4 linked regions of the Arabidopsis thaliana genome follow. The protein of the gene in region 1 interacts with the protein of each later gene in a pairwise test. Each region holds a gene or a part of one and is shown on either strand. Other genes may lie near its edges. The genes, in order: ALC, PAR1, MEE8 and MAF1.

Region 1 (3,681 bases):
TCCTTCTTAATTTATGCTAAGACGTTTTCTTGTACATTTTGCCTTCAACAGTGTGAAGACGAGTCATGCAAGCACACAACCCGCTCCCCCAACTTTCGTCTACTCGGTGAACGTGAACGGGGGACAGTTTGCCCAAACTATCCTAACTGTAACGGAACCCTCTTACGAAAGGTATATACCATCATCAACCTTATAACTCCTATCTCTCTATTGCTTCACAGACTAACTCTTGACTTTACAGTACACTGAAGCAGACTTGTACAAGCAACTGTCATACTTCTGCCACATCTTAGACACACAATGCTCTTTAGAAAAGGTTTCTACTTTACAACCTTGTTATATTATTAATATCAATTTGTCTTGTCTATATCCCTAAAGTTATCGGTACCATTTGAAATAACAGATGGATGTTGGCGTGAGAATTCAAGTAGAGAAAGCAATGACGAAGATAAGACCTGCGGTTAAGTCAGCAGCAGCAATCACTCGAAGTAGTAGAGACCGGTGTGCTTATGGATGGATGCAACTCACAGACATAGTCATTTGATAGTTGTAATAATCATCTCATATGTAAGTAAATTAGTCTTTTATATATAATCTGCTTCAGACATCATTATAATCAAACTACTCAGATTTTGTTCACTCCTAAAGCTTATTAGCATAACTATAACTGAACATAGAAATCTGGCCAATGCTAAAACTCAAAACATTGTTCACTCCTGTCTGGCAGGTACTAGAGGAATTCCGATCATCATCATTGTCTGAATGTTATCTTCAAAGCAGAGTGGCTGTGGAAAAGCACATTCCTTGACTTGTTTTAGCTGGTTCCAGCGAGTGAGGAGCAGCGAGAAGAGTCTCTAGGTTCAGGTCTTGCTCTAAGGTCTCATTGATCCTTGTATGAGTTGGAGGTGGAACCTGTGGTAATCGCATAGGGTTTAAGCCTAAACCATTCATAACGGCTAAAGTCTGCATCATGCAGTAAATCAAGTTAATGATCTGAGTGATGTAATTTACAAATCAGACTTTGAACGTATATAATCATAGTAAGTAGGAAAAAAACCTGGACTTGAAGTTGAAGCTGCTTCAGATATTCTATAGCTTCATCAAGCATTGAGGCTTTATCAGTCTATAAACAAACAAAAGATAACGGATCAATCAGAACAATGTTTCTCACTATCTCTGATTCGAACAAAGATTGATTAACCTTGTTGGAATTGGGAATGAGTTTCTGCAAAGCTTTCATTTTCTCGTTGATCTTGCTCCTCCTCTTCTGCTAACACTCAGATTCTAATCAACTACAATCTCAAGGTTCTTCTTCTTTCTAAATTAAGAATCTTAAAAGGAAGATAAAAGAGAAAACCTTTTCAGACAAGTTGTGGAATTGAGCATCAATGTTTCTCTTCAACGAATTTCTCTGTTTAGCTCCACTTCTCTTTAGTGTTTAGCCATTCCAAAAAGAAAAGAGACTAATTTTGGTTTTTGTTTTCTTTTACAAGGAAAGCCAAGTGAAGCATCTCTGCAGCTAAGAATAGTTAAGTTTATACCTTGTGTTCGAAAGCATATTTGTCTTGGCCAGTTTCAGAGACTCCATAACCGACGGAAGAAACAGCTCCGCCGGAAACGGAAGGGAAGAAGGTCTCAGCGGAGGAAACATTAGTACTCTTCGGTGGTGAAGAAGGTTGAGCTGTAGGAGTACGGGAAAGAATCTGTCGGAGAAAGCTCGAGAGTTCGTCGGAAGAAGATGGAGGGGGAAGACGATCACCGACGTCAGAATCACCCATCTCTCTCTCTCTCTCTCTCTCTGCTCTACTCTGTGTGTAAAAATTATCACTGTGGCTTTTTCGTAGTAAAGCTTATAGGCGGGGGAGGTAGGACGCGTGAGATCACGTTCTTCAGAGAAGCGCGTGGAGGTTCTAAAAGAGGCGAGTGGCGTGTCGAATCCCTATAGACAGAATCTGGTGTCTCACATCACTCTGTGTGTGAACAGTTTCCTTTTGTAGCAATTTTATTTAATAATATTATATTTTTTACCTAATAAAAAAAAGGAAAAAAGCATTTTTGGACCACCAAGTAAATAAAAAACATACATTTTTATTGTTTTTTTCAATGTGATAAGTTAAATTGAGAGGAGGGGATGAAATTATGAAAATCAGTAAATGAAACGGTTGAAAAAATAAGAGTATTGATAAGATAGAGCATTGATAGACTATTTAATTATTATTATGACTAAACATGAAAATGGACAATTACTTGAAAAGTAAGGTCTCGCAACAGTTTCACCATTTTTGACAAATTACAAAAATCTATTTTTTCCTTCTTTTTTGTTGTTGTTGTTGTCCACAGATAAAGTGTGAATAAAACTGCATGCATTTCGAAAGATTATTTATTCGAGAGATTATTTAACACAAAATAAAATTCAGATATTATAATGGTCAATACAAAGACGATAACATGTCCTTGATCATTAGCCTTTTTTTAATGCATCCAAAGGGAAATATATATAATATAGTAATTAAAATAATTATGGTTCATAGCAAAAATAAGAATAACTAGATTTTAACCCGCGGTATACCGCGAAAACAATTTATTTTTTAAATTAATATATATAAAAGTTTGTAAATTGTATCTATCTATAAAATATTTTTATTGTATAGTTTACAATTGTTATTAAGTAACGTCCTGCCAAACCCGTCCCGCCAACCCGTCCTCTAAAAAAACTCATTTATTTTATGAATGTGATCTTATTTATGATATGTTTATGAATTATTGTCTAAATATTTTGTAATTTTGTAGTAATTAAATGTTATCAAATATCTCTACGGTTTGATGATTATAATCATGCAGAAAAGCAATATCAAAAATGATAATTTTGTAGTAATTAAATGATATTAAATATTTTAGAAGTTTTATTTTAGTAATTAATCGTGTAGTTAAGGTAGAGAGATTTTGGAAAGATTGTTAAATGTCAAATATTTAATTAGAAGATTTTCTTTCTAATTATCAAAAACAATTATTAAATGCCAATGACAGCCGCTGTAAATAAATCCCAACTCCAGAATTTATTTCACAAAGTGGCTGCAAAAATATATATATAGATGATAATAATCAAAATCAGAAATCAAATCAAAATCCAACTTGCCATCTAAATAAATGGAATCTTTCTAACTTGATAAAAAGGGAAATATTGGTAATTATGGTTCATAGCAAAAGAAAGAAACAAAAAAACTGAAATCCAACGAGATAAACGGAATCTTTCAAACTTGATAAAACATTTAAACGACTTCTCGGTTGCAAAGAGGACACTTGTTCGTGACCATTAGCCAATTCTTGATGCATCCGAAGTGAAAGTCATGCCCACATCCCAGTTTCGAAACTTCTTCATTGTCCTTCAATTTCTGCTGACAGATCACACATCTCTTCGTTTCATCGTCGCTACGCTTTTCATATTTCCTTCTTATTAGATTCTCATCAATCACTTCCTCGCTTAAACCAGTGCGTTCATCTCCTGTTTCGTCAGTGATGCTCAATAATTCCTAGAAAAAAAAAGATTCATTCATAAAATTATCGATATCTAAACTCTGCAGCTTATACAACTCTAGAATCAAGAAACCAAAATGGTACATATAATTTTTATTAAAGAGAGTCCTAATCTCTTCTACATCTAGGATTCAAATGCACTTCTTT
Region 2 (3,360 bases), on another chromosome or scaffold:
GCAATCAAAAAACATGTGGAATCGTAATCTTTTAGGCTTTTAGCCCATACAGGATGTGATTAGTTATAATCTATCAATGGTTTTTATTTTAAATTTTGGTTTGGTAAAGGATGTTGAAGTTAACATTATTGATTACAACTTCGTACTATACGATGTTCAACCTTAAATTCATCTTTGTAATGTAATTTGGATAGAGAGTAGATAGGGTTGGTAAGAAAATTATATCTTCCCCGACTTTCCGCTATGTGTGGAGTAAATAGTTCCATAGAGTTCGATATAGCTGCATTGTTGTGGGTCAGAAATTACGTTATAATGAATACTAAAACTGATATTGTTTTTTTTCTAGCGGCAAATGTGTTTAAATTTCTGTGTAGATGCTAGCTCTAGTACTTACACGACTAAAAAGATTTGTCTTGTATATGTATGTACAAGGAATATACATGAACTCTATTGTTGGACCACGGGAACTCAAATCTAGTAAGTTCATCATAAGCTTAAATAAATATCGACCGACTTTGGAAATCTTTGTTATAATAAAGCATGTGAAATGAGCTCATCCAGATTTAAAAATGGGCCACGTAACATTAACTTTCTCAATATCATTAATGTCAAATCTCATATGCAAGTGAAACCTCGTGATCCAATTTAATATCTATACTATATGGCGTCCTACTAAAATAAGTTATATAACTACATTAATTAATGCTAATTTTCGTTAATGAACACTTCTCATAACCGTGAAACGGCTTAATAAATAAATCAGAACATTAAAATTAAAGATTATACTCCTACTAAAGAAAAAAAAAATTCGAAGAAAAAAATGTTGAGTCTCTTTCCTCATATATCAAAGCTAAAATCCCATGTTATAAAAAAGGAAATAAAAGATTTGAAAAAAAAAAACGTTTTTTTTTGTTTTTAGGAATCGAAGAAAGAAGAGCAGTCTTGGTGTGATAATCTTCAACCTCCGAACTTCATGTCTTCTTGATCTATGCGTTGAAGAAACGAAGTAAGGACTTTAATGGTTTTGATCTGACATTGTAGAGACAGAATGTAACCAGCTGTCTCTTCGAAGAGCGCGTCCACACCAAGCGCCGCTCCTCCGGGGATAATCCTCTGCAACGCCTCAATCTTTTCCTTGACCTCATCTTCTTCTTCTTCTGCTTCTTCTCGGTCTTCACGTACGCTTGCGTTAGTCTCTGACAATCTCCGTTTGGTTCTGCGCTCGAAACCAGCGGCGCGTGATTTCACGGTGGCTGAGCATGACGGTGACAGAGAGCGTCTCGTGGCGTCGGGAGTGGCTAGAGTTTCTTCCATTGAAAGAAAGAGAGAGATGAATGATGAGTCTGAGAGAATAATGAACAAGTAAGGAATGTGGATATGTGTAACTGTGTGTGTTATATATATATATATGAGTGATGATGGATTTAGTAGACAAAAATGTTGAAATGTGGTCGGTTCAACCTGATTTTATTTTGGTTTGTTGCGAGTTTAGAGACAATACTCTATCGGTTTGATTTGGTTTGCTATGCTTTATGTTACATTGTTTGCTTACATTAGTGAAAGGTTCGGTTATGAACGAATTTTGGTTTGGTTTGTCTATAAAAAACGATGTAAAAATTGAAACGATATAAAATAAATTCTACATTTAGAAATTGGGAAATGGTTAAATGAGCGGTATTGCCATCAAAGCTGGGTCCAGTTGTGCGTTATTTTTAATTTTATTATCCTCGTGTTTCGGATTGTGGAGATTTATTTAATTATCTCTTACTTTGGTTGCTTCCACAGATTTGGATCTTTAGAAGAAGAGCTTTCACGCGCCATGTCGACTGGTTTAGACTTTAGTGGACTCATCACTCACTTAAGTGGATCAACCTCGCATCTAGATTGGATTTTTTTGTTTGTTTGATAAATGAGATTTGGCACGTTAAATTTGTTTGTTTAAGAGCTAGACGTTTGACATAGTAATTAACTAATTATACAACAATGCTTTATTATTGTATTAGGATATGCGTTGTTAATACAAGCCGGATTACTTTTAGCAAGTGTCTCATTTATTTATCAAGCCGGATTACTTGCTAAAATATTATTCGAACTTTAATTTAAACTCTAAATGGTTTGTGATCTGGTTTAGCCATAAATGTAATAGCTGCTATACGTTGTTTTGCATAGTTACCAGTCTTATTTTCTACAACAAGAATAAAGAGTATAAACTATTTTATGTGAGCTTAAATTTCCAAAAGAAAAATTCAAGTAGACGACGACAAACCCTATAGTTATGCACTTATGCTTATAGGCCATTCGGGTGGTGCCTGGTAATGGACTAATGCCTGATGGTATAAGAGTAAGTTTTGTCGTAATTACGTAGTACGGACGAAATGAAAACGACCACGCGCGTGGAGATAAGGAAGGAAAAGAAGAAGGATACAGTGAGACACTACTTGCATGGGAACAAGGAAGAGAGAGGAGAGGACATGTGCGGGTCACATGAATATCTCCATCTTCAAAGCCCCATTCCCATGTGCTTCCTCCTCTCTATACATTATGTACAGACTGTAATATAGTATTATTATTAGATGGATGAGATCAAATAGATCCTCTAAGAGATAGTGAACTTGTTCGTACAATTGAGGACCTAATCCTACTAAGATCCACATGATATCTATCGGGCATGGTGGCCACGTGTCAACCCTTTTTTGGGTCCCCCCCACCTCAGTGACCTCCTAAATCTGTCCTTCATTTTTTTTTTGTCAACTCCTTTTTCTTATTAAAAGAAACTCCAATTAACATCCCATATTTCTTACCACGTAAAAACAACAATCTCAATATATCTATAATGTTAGAGAAATGGCCACTATATAACAAGAAGAAAGCCAAGGAAGTTTAGTGTTATTGGATTCGAATATAGTGTTACATGTTTCTAGCTAGAGATCTTTATAATATACATCTTTTATACATAAAACCGTTATAGTAAATCTTACTTAATGTTGGTTCCATAAATGAGCCCTCCGGTGCATTTCTTTTGTCAACTATATGATATAAAAACTAGATAAAGACTTAATAAAAAATAATTGCATTAAAAAAAAACAATTGCATTTTTGTAGGTCTTTAATCCAAGATTGCAAATTAACCTAAATCTACTCAAGAAAAAAAATTTAGTAAAGAATAATGATTGACATCTAATTAAAAGAAATAATGTATGGTCTTAATTAAGACAAAGATCAGGAACAGAATAACACATTTCTTTTACGTCTAGGGTTTTTAGTAATACTAAAAATTGTTAAGATGTTGTTTTAGAAGAAGAAGAAGATGGAAGAGAGAAATAAAGAAAGAGATGATGTTTCCAAAGAGGGGACGAAGGAG
Region 3 (2,783 bases), on another chromosome or scaffold:
TTTTGTTATTTGTAGTATTTTTCCAAAATATATAAAACAGAAATTTCCGTATTTTAAATACTTTCAATTAATCATAAACACATACAAATATTTAGATATAAGATCAATTCATCTAACACTTATCCTAATTTTTTAAATTGAATTACTTGTTTTAAGGATCATACACTGATACTAGGTCCGGTTGTTAACAGATTAATTTTTCATGAAGACCAAAACATATCATAAGGTTTTTATTAAAAGAAAATGGCGGACAGTAGGCGCCTAGTGTTCGAGTATTGACTGATCAAATCATTAACTTTTAATTTGCAAGATCCAGTAGTACTAAGTTCCGAACGGAATTTAATTAAAGATGGTCTCATGGCTAAAACATAACTCGTAACATCTAAACCAAAAACATACAATTTTATTATAACAAACAAACGAAGAACTGAGGCTAAAACATAACTCGTAATATTTAAACCAAAAACATACAATTTGATTATAACAAACCAACAAAGAACAACTGAGAAAATAAGAAAACTTAGCTAATCGAAACTTTTATCAAGTATCTATATAATACAAAACGGCACCAGCTTCAGTAAACAGTCTCCAGTCGTCACATATTCCCTGCGAACCCTTGTAATGCTGGAAATGAAGAGAAATTTAAAAACCAGAAAGATAAATAATCTTTAACGAACAGATCAGAGTATGGCCATAAAAAAAAATTACCTCCGAAAAGAACTGCAAGGCGCAAGTTGTTCGTGTACTCGATAACGCAATCAAGGATGGCGTTGATATCAGACTGTAAGATTATACGGAAAAAAAAAACATTAACAAAACTAACATTTCCCAAGAAAAAAAAATCAGTTAACAAAGGAAGCAGTTGTGAACCTGTGGGCAGTTGGGTGTAATTTCCTTAAGTGTTTCTAGTTGCCTTCTTATACGTTCCCGCCGTTTCTTCTAAGGTATCCAAAGAAGAGAAAAGAGTAAATCAAGAGTTTCTTGGGGAAGACGTATCATAACAATACAACTATTATTGGTTACCTTCTTCAACAAGGTATCATGATCAGATTTGTCTGAAGATTTAATCACGCACTGTGTCTTAACTCGCTTCTTCTTTCCTTCTCTCCTCGACTCAGCTGACCTCTTTTGCCCTACTTTCTCTACACCTTTTTCGTTGTTGATCCTACGCAAGTCACTATTCGCCTCTGGATTAGTGAGCGAGTATAGTATCTCAAACCATTGCCGAAGAAATACTTCGTCCTTGTTCATTCTTTTGATAGTTTTAAGTGATTCTTTACTGATAAGTTTGGCTGATTTGAGTTTAACGCAGACATGCTTCAAGGGTACTTATACAGGGAGAAAAGGATATATATGTAAACTACTCATGACGAGAAACAACAACGTTTGCCGCTCAAAAAGCTACTCTTCGTCACTAAGTTACTAATTCTTTAAATAAAATTACATTTATGTAAGGTGGACATCTAAGGTTCATAGATATAGCCAAGAAATGTAACGTGTCCATTTTTGACCTAAGTCTACGGTTTAAAAAATTAGAGATTTTGGAATGCAGGATATATACACACATAATACGACAATATTAGGACCTTACGAAGTCACGAGGCTCTTGTAATCGTTTACTCAGAACTCCACATGCATTAGGAGTACTCTACGTCGTACCTTTAATACAAATATTTAAATATTTTCGAGAATGATCTAATTAATCTAGTGATGTAAGTTACAATATTTCTGAATGGTACCTTCCGGTTTAGAGAGAACCTTGAGTTGCTAAGGGAGATATCCGGTTATAAAACGGTTCATGCGGCAACCTTGTTTATCATGCGGCAACCTTGTTTGTCATGCGGCATGATCTTTGTCAGCATTCAGCATGTATGTTGGGATTTAGACTTTCTAAAATCTTATCTAGCACTAAAGTTTTGACATCAGCCTTATTTGTCTATATGTATGGGTGACATGGTAATAATTTCTTTAACTAAATCTCTGGGATGATTTTTTAAATTAATTTGTAGTTTCTTTAAGAAGTTACACAACATGAGGTTATAACAATTTTACGTGACATATTTATAACTCACAAATGAACTATTTTTTGTTTTTTATATCTCAGGTGATCGTAAATGCTTTATAATCTCGGGATATGGAAAACAATGTTAAATTGAGCTATTTTGTTTTTGAAATATGAAAATTCATAGTTTAAAATTTACACAATCGATATAATATTCTACAGATTGAGAAATTTATTACCCGTATATAATGATAAGTAAGATTGATTTCAAGAACTTTTGGATCATGAGTCCCTCTATTTTGTTAGTCTTAGTTTAGGACTCTTCAGATTCAAAGTTTTATATATTAAAAAAGTAAATAGTTTCTAAACATGAGTGTTATATCATCGATCCAAACAATTGGTTTTGACAACGTTGCACTATTTAGGTAAAATATGCATCCATGGAAACCAAGATTAATAAACATGATGTTTCGAAAATATTAAAGAAAACTGCAATAGAGAAAGAAAAAAGAAAAAAAACACAAAGACCAAGTGAGATCATGTTATTGCGTAATACATGTGGATTGCGTAGTTTGGTAATGATGTTAGATAGTCTATGCGCTCCAGTGCTCCACAGCAACGGCTAACTTCTCGAACACACGCTCCTATTTTCAACGTGCCAAAGTTAGAGCCTAGCTTTGATTATCTTTTCTGGTCTATACTCATATTTTGCTGCTCCATGTATCCACCATCTCTTTTACTGGGGCACACTATATATATGTAAAGTGCTTTTACTGATAAA
Region 4 (6,718 bases), on another chromosome or scaffold:
TGATTCTATAGGTCTTCAATGGAAGAGACACTACAAGGATCTGAAGAGGATAGCTAGTTCATTCCGCATTGTTTAGACTTTAGAACTTTTTTGGATATATCAGATCTTCAACAAGTTACTCAAGTGTTTCTCAAGACTAAGAACACAAAGAGCGGTACATAAATGTGTATTTGTAAAAAGTTGAGAATCCTGTAATATTATACTAAACAACATACGAGCAGTGAGTTTGGCATACGGTTGTATGGATCTGGATTCATCAGAAAGAACCAAAACATGAAACAGAGTTCAAAAGCTGGCTTTTTTGAGTTCTTCAAAAACACAAATAATAAAACTTGGAAAAGGTGAAAAATATCTTATATAGTTTGGAGCTCTCAAAAACAGAATCACTAAACTTGGAAAAAAGAGCAAAATATCTGATATGGTTTTGATCAAATTAAAAGAGATGCAACTAAATAACTTTGCCACGTAATGTAAGACAAATAATCAAATAATTAAAGTTATAAAAAAAAAAAGTAAAAAAAAAAAGAAATAAGAAGGTCTAGGGTTCTTCACGCTGAAGAAAGAAAGCACAACTTTAAAAATCCAATCCGTACATTCAGACACAAACACACAAACTCTGATCTTGTCTCCGAAGGAGGTACAACACTGATCCATACTTTCTCGTTTTCTTTTTGACCTTAAATTCCACACTAGAGGAAGATAAAAGGTTTGAGATTACACAGCTTTTTATAATATACAAATTTATTCTCTTAATTATGAATCAGGCTTTGAGTTTAAGGTGAAAACTCAGCCGTTGATGATGGTGGCTAATTGAGCAGCGGGAGAGTCTCCGGTATTTTGTTGCCGGAGCTACTTCCCGGAAACATTCCTCTCTCATCATCTGTTGCCAGCAACGTATTCTTTCCCATCTGTAAGAAACTTTCTTACATTTCTTTTTTTTCTACAGCTACTAAACATTGCAAGAAATTAATCTATCTTGTAGAAAGCATTTTTTTTATTTGCAAATTTCACAAATTAAAAATACCGGGTTTTGAGTATCTTTCATCGGTGAGACATACCTTTCTTCTCTGACAGCTACTAAATTAACAAGAAAGATAGATTTTAAAAGCATTTTGTTATCACTTATCACATATTTAGGGTTTCACTATAATTGTCTAGTATCCATCAAAGTCCTTCAACTTTTAGTTTTCATGTACGTGTATATGTGTATCTCTCTATAACGGGGACGTATAAAGTGATTAATTAGCTTCAAGAGCAGAAGATATTGTGGTCATTGTTACCTGGCTAGCCAGAACCTGGTTCTCTTCTCTCAGCAATTTCTCCTGTTTGGAAAAGATCATAAGGTCATTAGTTTCTAACAACTTCTATAGCTATTTCCAAACATGTTTCCTTCTCGAAACATAAATCATCCTCATCCAAATTCGACACTTTATGAGGGAAAGGTTGGATTTGATCAAGAGTTTAAAACTGCTTGTTTTTTTAATTCTCATTAGGGTTTCACCTGAATGAAGCCAATACTAAATCAGGAACTAAGACAAGACCAAAAGATATATATATATATATATAGTAATCTGTAGACTCAGCAGGTTAATAGAATTCAAGAATCATCATAGCCTAGAATATGGCCTTTATCGAAAATAAAAACCAAAGCACTAACCTTTTCTTTAAGGGACTCGATATACTCCATCATCAGTTCTGCCTATAACAAGACATTAAGATTTATGTCAAAAGATTGTTCTAGGATAACTAACTAAAAAGAAGGTTTTGTGGAGTAATTGGTTGAATCACTTAGTAGCAGCACATATACCTTCCTAGCTCTACTTACGGACAGAGCAGTCTCAAGTTGTTCCTCCAGAGAAATTAGAGAATCTACACTTACATTATCGACATTTGGTTCTTCAAGCTTGCTGTATTCACAAGTAGACAAAAGAAAAAAAACATTTTTTTTATCAGAAGAAGAGGGGAGAAAAATGTGTCGTACTGCTAACCTTTGGACTGTTTCTAGTAACTCCTTGTGTGGAAGATAATTCTGAATTTTTTCTTCAAGATCCTGCACATGAAGAAAAGGAATGGTCAGAAAGATTGTGAAGTTCTTGTATTTTCCAGTAGACACAATAACTGTAACTCTAGAGAATTAAGTTCGGTGTTACGAGTTCAAAACATTGAGGTTTCTCCGGCTTGAACAGCGCTTCTATCCTTCATAACACCAAAAACCGCATCCAGAAGAATATTAGAATGACGTTCTTAGCTAATTACTTACTAAGGCTCTAAGTTCATCAGCATGTTGTATTTCATAACGATCAATGATCTTGGAAATGCTGGAGATAAAACAAAAATGCATTAGAACAATAATTTATGCAAAAACCATTTCAAAACTAAGAATCAGATACTGCATCAATAGAGGCCATTATTTAGAGAGAATGCACCAAAGTGAAAGAAAGCTTATATAATATGTTACATTTGCAACAATTTCTGTTACTAACCAACAGTTTTTGATAATCATCTTTACTTAACCAGGCATCTATATATAAAAATGATAGTAAGTATAAAAGCATTAAAAAAAACAATGTAAGTTACTATTAGTTACCCTATTTTTGAAGTTACTGCTTTAGATATATGTGTTCAAAATGTTTTATACTTCAAATGTAAATCTGAAACTCTGATCATCTGGTGCTCTAAAATTAAAATCTGAATTTACAATTTCAACTTTAAGATCCTGTTATATATCAACTTCGCAGCCAATATTGTCATTGTTTCGACTTCAAAAGGTTTTAGAAACTAAGTGCACACATTTTTAACTCATCCCCATGAGTTCGATTATCTACCTTCTTTTTCTTATCAAGGCTAAATCAGTTTTATAAAGAAGCTCTATTTTTGGTTCTTCAAAAAACTAATATCATGCAAAATGTATGATTGTATAGATTATAAATCACATCCTTCCAAAAGACAAAATCTTGATGAAATTCATGTTCATTTTAAGGGAAAATTTTCAAGAATTCAATGCAATCAGTTTATATTTTGACTAGTCAATCCAAGTTTTAGTTATTGACGCTTTCACACATAACGTCAAACGAATCGGAATACTGAAACCAAAAACCTTTGGCTAAATGATATCATGATACTCCAAAAAGGATAAACCAAGAAACTGATTTAGCATTTCCGGGAAGGTCATGACAGCTCTAATCCTATATATGTGTTGTCCATGATCTATTAATGCTATGATATGAATAGAGACTGGCTTCAAATTCACTTCAGTTATTACACGTTCTTATCTTTTTAGTAACATCTCAAGTTGTGACTTAGTAATTTTACATCAATCACAAAAAGAAGAAAAAATGAACAATTAGTAAGACGCATAAGACGACTAATCTCAACTAAAAACACTTTGCATAGTGCCACTTTGTTAAGGTATAAGAACTAAATAAAGAAACTAGCTACAACTAGAGCTTGACTATTGTAAAATGGAGACAGATAGATACGGTTCCTAATACTTCGTCTATAGTCTGTGCATTTTGTTGGTTACAAATTTAACAAATTTGCTTTCATGATCAAGCATTTATGGAGTCAACATCAAGGAAATGAGAAGGAGCTGTATATATACACATACTGACAAGAGTTACCTTTCCATTTCCTACTTATCCATTGATGATTTTATCTTAGGTCTATTAGAAAAAAAAAACTCACTTTTAGTCGCATTCAAAGTATTCTAAAAGAGAAGTGGATGAGATTTTTCTAGATACAAAAGTTCATGGGGTTAAAAATATCCACGACAAATAACAGAAGACTATTAAAGTCATTGAACATTTGGTTGTAGTCTAGTGGTTTCTCCCAATTAGTAAAATTGGCGACCGATTTCTACTTAATGAACCTACTAGGCCACTGACATATATATGGTAGCAGTAAAATCAGTTATAGTTTGAGTTTCTTTAGCAAAGAAATCCAAACTACAACATCTTAGAGAGCAACAAAGAGTCACTCAGTAAGACATAATGTATCTTGTATGGTGTCATAAACACACAACAAATTACGATTAAAAGGGTTAAAATCGATATCCAATTAGTTAAGTAATGAAGAATGTGTGGCGAGTATCAATGTGGAAACTTATCCCAGCACTACAATAAACCATCAAAATCAACTAGATAAACCTTATTCCTTAAAGAGAATTACAAAAGAAAAGATCTACAATACATTTTGGATCAACATAAAGTACAATGTGTTAACCAATTTGAACCAAAGATATTCGATTAATGTTACCACTAACCCCAAATAATCTCTCAACAAAACTACTTGAAGTGCATTGCAATATTGAATATAATTACCAAATCTCAAAATTTGAACAATCTAAACATATTGTTTCTTATATGAAAAAACGAAGCTTCAAAGTGAACAACAGATGGAACTAGCAATACAAAGATTACTTAAACAACATCAAGAACGAATCACCACGTGTAGAAAAGTTTCTTGAATAACATGCAATATTAAATTTCGTCACAAATGAAGGTAAAAAAAGAGATAAAAATGATTTTAAAATGAAAAAAAAAAAAACACGAAAAAAAAAACACGAAACGAACATCAAGAACATATCTTGGCGATCAAAATGTTTAGTCTTAAATTAGGTTAAAGCTTACGCATCTGCTATCTTCATACAGAAAACAAGGAGAAAATCTCAGTTGATTTGATGGAATCAAAAAGCCCTAGATTTGAAGCTTCTATATGGAGAAAGTAATTAAACAAAGTAAAAAAGCACAAAAATCGAGTGAGACCCAGAAAAGGAAAGTATCTTCTTACTCGTCACCGGAGGAAGAGTCATAGAGTTTTCCGGAGGCAGATACGACGACAACAGCGACGGAGGATTCACAGAGAATCGAAAGTTGTCGAGCTTTGTCGATGAGACCATTGCGTCGTTTGGAGAAAGTGACTTGTCGACTGCTTTTGTTCTCGATTCGCTTGATCTCGATTTTTCTTCTTCCCATGGCTTCAAATCTCCGATAAGGGTTATGCCCTAATTTAATCCTAATCTCCGGAGACGCTCAATGCTTTTTGCTTTTTATTCTTTTTTCTTGGTTTTTTTTTTCCTCCAACTCGTTTTTTTTTTTGGTTAAACGAGATAGAGAAAATAATAGTATTAAGCGAAACGATTGCGTTTTGAAGCCACTAAGAGGCAAATTTTTAAGCTTGTCGTTGTTAAAGACTTTTTAATCCAGTCGGTTAGACCGGTCCGAGTCCGATCATCATCCCCACCGAACAGAAATTGGTTTTTAAGGTTTTCTCTTTTTATTTGGAGGGTTTAAAAGTTATTTTATCTCATTGGTTTTGATCGGAAAGTAGTGCTTATGAATCGGGTAACGGTTAATTCAAGGATTTCAGTTATTATTGACGTAATTATATTAAAGATTGATCGGATAATCAAAACTACAATGCAAACTTTCACTAAAATGGTTTTGAATTCAAATATTTTTAAATCGATAATTTTCAATACGTTTGACTATCACCAATTTATTAAAAGTGATTAGTAACTTGACCACTATCAGTGTAAGATAATTGGTATTGAAAACATTATATTATCTAAAACTAAGAGCATATTTTAAAATGTTTGTTTAATTTCTTTGTTTTCTGAATCCATCTTGTCTTGATGCATTGGGATATTCAGATAGCACCTCCCCGCTCCTATGATGGCTCTCCGAGCGATTTTGACCATTTCACCAACTAGAAAGCCTTATCAAAATCTTTGTGCTTTCTTCCGTCTCCAAGAGTAACCATTACTTTATCGAGTTAGGTCGTAGGTTCTGCCGTGGCTCATTCATACTACGTCTCAAAACTGAGTTAGGGATGGTAACTAATTTGGCTTCCCCATTTTCAATGTTTGTTCGCTTACGCTATAAAGGTGAACCAGAATCAGCCCACGACCCTAACCGGATTAAACCGACATTGTTCTTCTTCCCAATCTCGTTTCGGCCCAATATTAAACCAACGAGCCAATACTCCCTTAAACGATTATTTGGGGCAAAAAGACTCTCAACTCTATTCACATGCCCATTAAAGGCCCGATATAATTTCACCGTCCAAAACTACAAATTCGTTTCGGCTTGCTTCATTTCTCAGCTTCTGGTTAATGGGTGGTAAATGATAGCTCTAAGAATAAAGGCTTTTCTCTACTACATAAGAAAAAAAAAAAGAGAAAAAAAGAAATAGCCCATCTCTACTTGTCCCTTTTATTGGCCTGATTTAGCTTATTCAAAAATAAGAAAAGAAATGGGTTTGTTAATAATAAATCAGTAATACTAATCTAACGGCTAATTGTCAAATCGTTGAGAAGACAGTCGAACGGTAAGTTTAATTTTAAAAAGATCAACATTATAGCCGTTGGTGAAGATTGCCAACAAGCCCTATAAATACTTCCACTAAACTTTTTTACAGCCATCCAAGTGGACCAATCTTTTTTATTTGGCTAAAATGTCAATTGAATTCAGATGGTATAGTTGCACACAAGAAAAATAAAAAATAAAAAAAATCAGATGGTATCAACAGTTTACATATTCACCCTTAATCAAAACGGAAAAAGAGAGCATAAAGCCATAAAGTAAAATTCAGTCTAAAAAGCTGTAACAATTTCTTAAATACAAACGACCCAATTTGTTGAGATGTGAAAAAGGCAAAAACAAGTCACTACATGAAATTGGATGTTGTAGGCCCAATTTGTTGAGATAGTAAAACCGAA

The links.
Region 2: the proteins of ALC (region 1) and PAR1 interact in a two-hybrid assay, tested with the Arabidopsis thaliana proteins (one large-scale study listed by BioGRID).
Region 3: the proteins of ALC (region 1) and MEE8 interact in a two-hybrid assay, tested with the Arabidopsis thaliana proteins (one large-scale study listed by BioGRID).
Region 4: the proteins of ALC (region 1) and MAF1 interact in a two-hybrid assay, tested with the Arabidopsis thaliana proteins (one large-scale study listed by BioGRID).

Annotation. Positions count from the first base shown.
Region 1 is NC_003076.8:26,784,561-26,788,241, forward strand, and holds ALC (basic helix-loop-helix (bHLH) DNA-binding superfamily protein), read right to left. Parts: upstream 1,872-3,681; 5' UTR 1,779-1,871; coding exon 1,542-1,778; exon of another isoform or gene 1,430-1,541; coding exon 1,358-1,429; exon of another isoform or gene 1,268-1,357; coding exon 1,202-1,267; coding exon of another isoform or gene 1,124-1,201; coding exon 1,058-1,123; exon of another isoform or gene 964-1,057; coding exon 772-963; 3' UTR 546-771; downstream 1-545. Other genes in the region: ICU2 (DNA-directed DNA polymerase), read left to right, coding at 52-171, 242-316, 404-544; AT5G67120 (RING/U-box superfamily protein), read right to left, coding at 3,270-3,530. UniProt on the Arabidopsis thaliana protein: Required for the dehiscence of fruit, especially for the separation of the valve cells from the replum. Promotes the differentiation of a strip of labile nonlignified cells sandwiched between layers of lignified cells.
Region 2 is NC_003071.7:17,835,874-17,839,233, forward strand, and holds PAR1 (phy rapidly regulated 1), read right to left. Parts: upstream 1,746-3,360; 5' UTR 1,315-1,745; coding exon 958-1,314; 3' UTR 543-957; downstream 1-542. UniProt on the Arabidopsis thaliana protein: Atypical bHLH transcription factor that acts as a negative regulator of a variety of shade avoidance syndrome (SAS) responses, including seedling elongation and photosynthetic pigment accumulation.
Region 3 is NC_003070.9:8,873,584-8,876,366, forward strand, and holds MEE8 (basic helix-loop-helix (bHLH) DNA-binding family protein), read right to left. Parts: upstream 1,252-2,783; coding exon 1,024-1,251; intron 937-1,023; coding exon 871-936; intron 782-870; coding exon 722-781; intron 625-721; coding exon 541-624; downstream 1-540. UniProt on the Arabidopsis thaliana protein: Required during early embryo development, for the endosperm formation.
Region 4 is NC_003070.9:28,953,934-28,960,651, reverse strand, and holds MAF1 (K-box region and MADS-box transcription factor family protein), read right to left. Parts: upstream 5,131-6,718; 5' UTR 4,974-5,130; coding exon 4,789-4,973; exon of another isoform or gene 2,342-4,788; coding exon of another isoform or gene 2,319-2,341; coding exon 2,261-2,318; intron 2,197-2,260; coding exon of another isoform or gene 2,151-2,196; intron 2,051-2,150; coding exon 1,808-2,050; intron 1,700-1,807; coding exon 1,658-1,699; coding exon of another isoform or gene 1,598-1,657; exon of another isoform or gene 1,502-1,597; coding exon of another isoform or gene 1,490-1,501; exon of another isoform or gene 1,323-1,489; coding exon 1,281-1,322; coding exon of another isoform or gene 1,239-1,280; exon of another isoform or gene 1,075-1,238; coding exon of another isoform or gene 1,042-1,074; exon of another isoform or gene 909-1,041; coding exon 807-908; 3' UTR 541-806; downstream 1-540. Other genes in the region: AT1G77090 (thylakoid lumenal protein (Mog1/PsbP/DUF1795-like photosystem II reaction center PsbP family protein)), read left to right, coding at 12-76. UniProt on the Arabidopsis thaliana protein: Probable transcription factor involved in the negative regulation of flowering time in both long and short days, probably through the photoperiodic and vernalization pathways. Prevents premature flowering.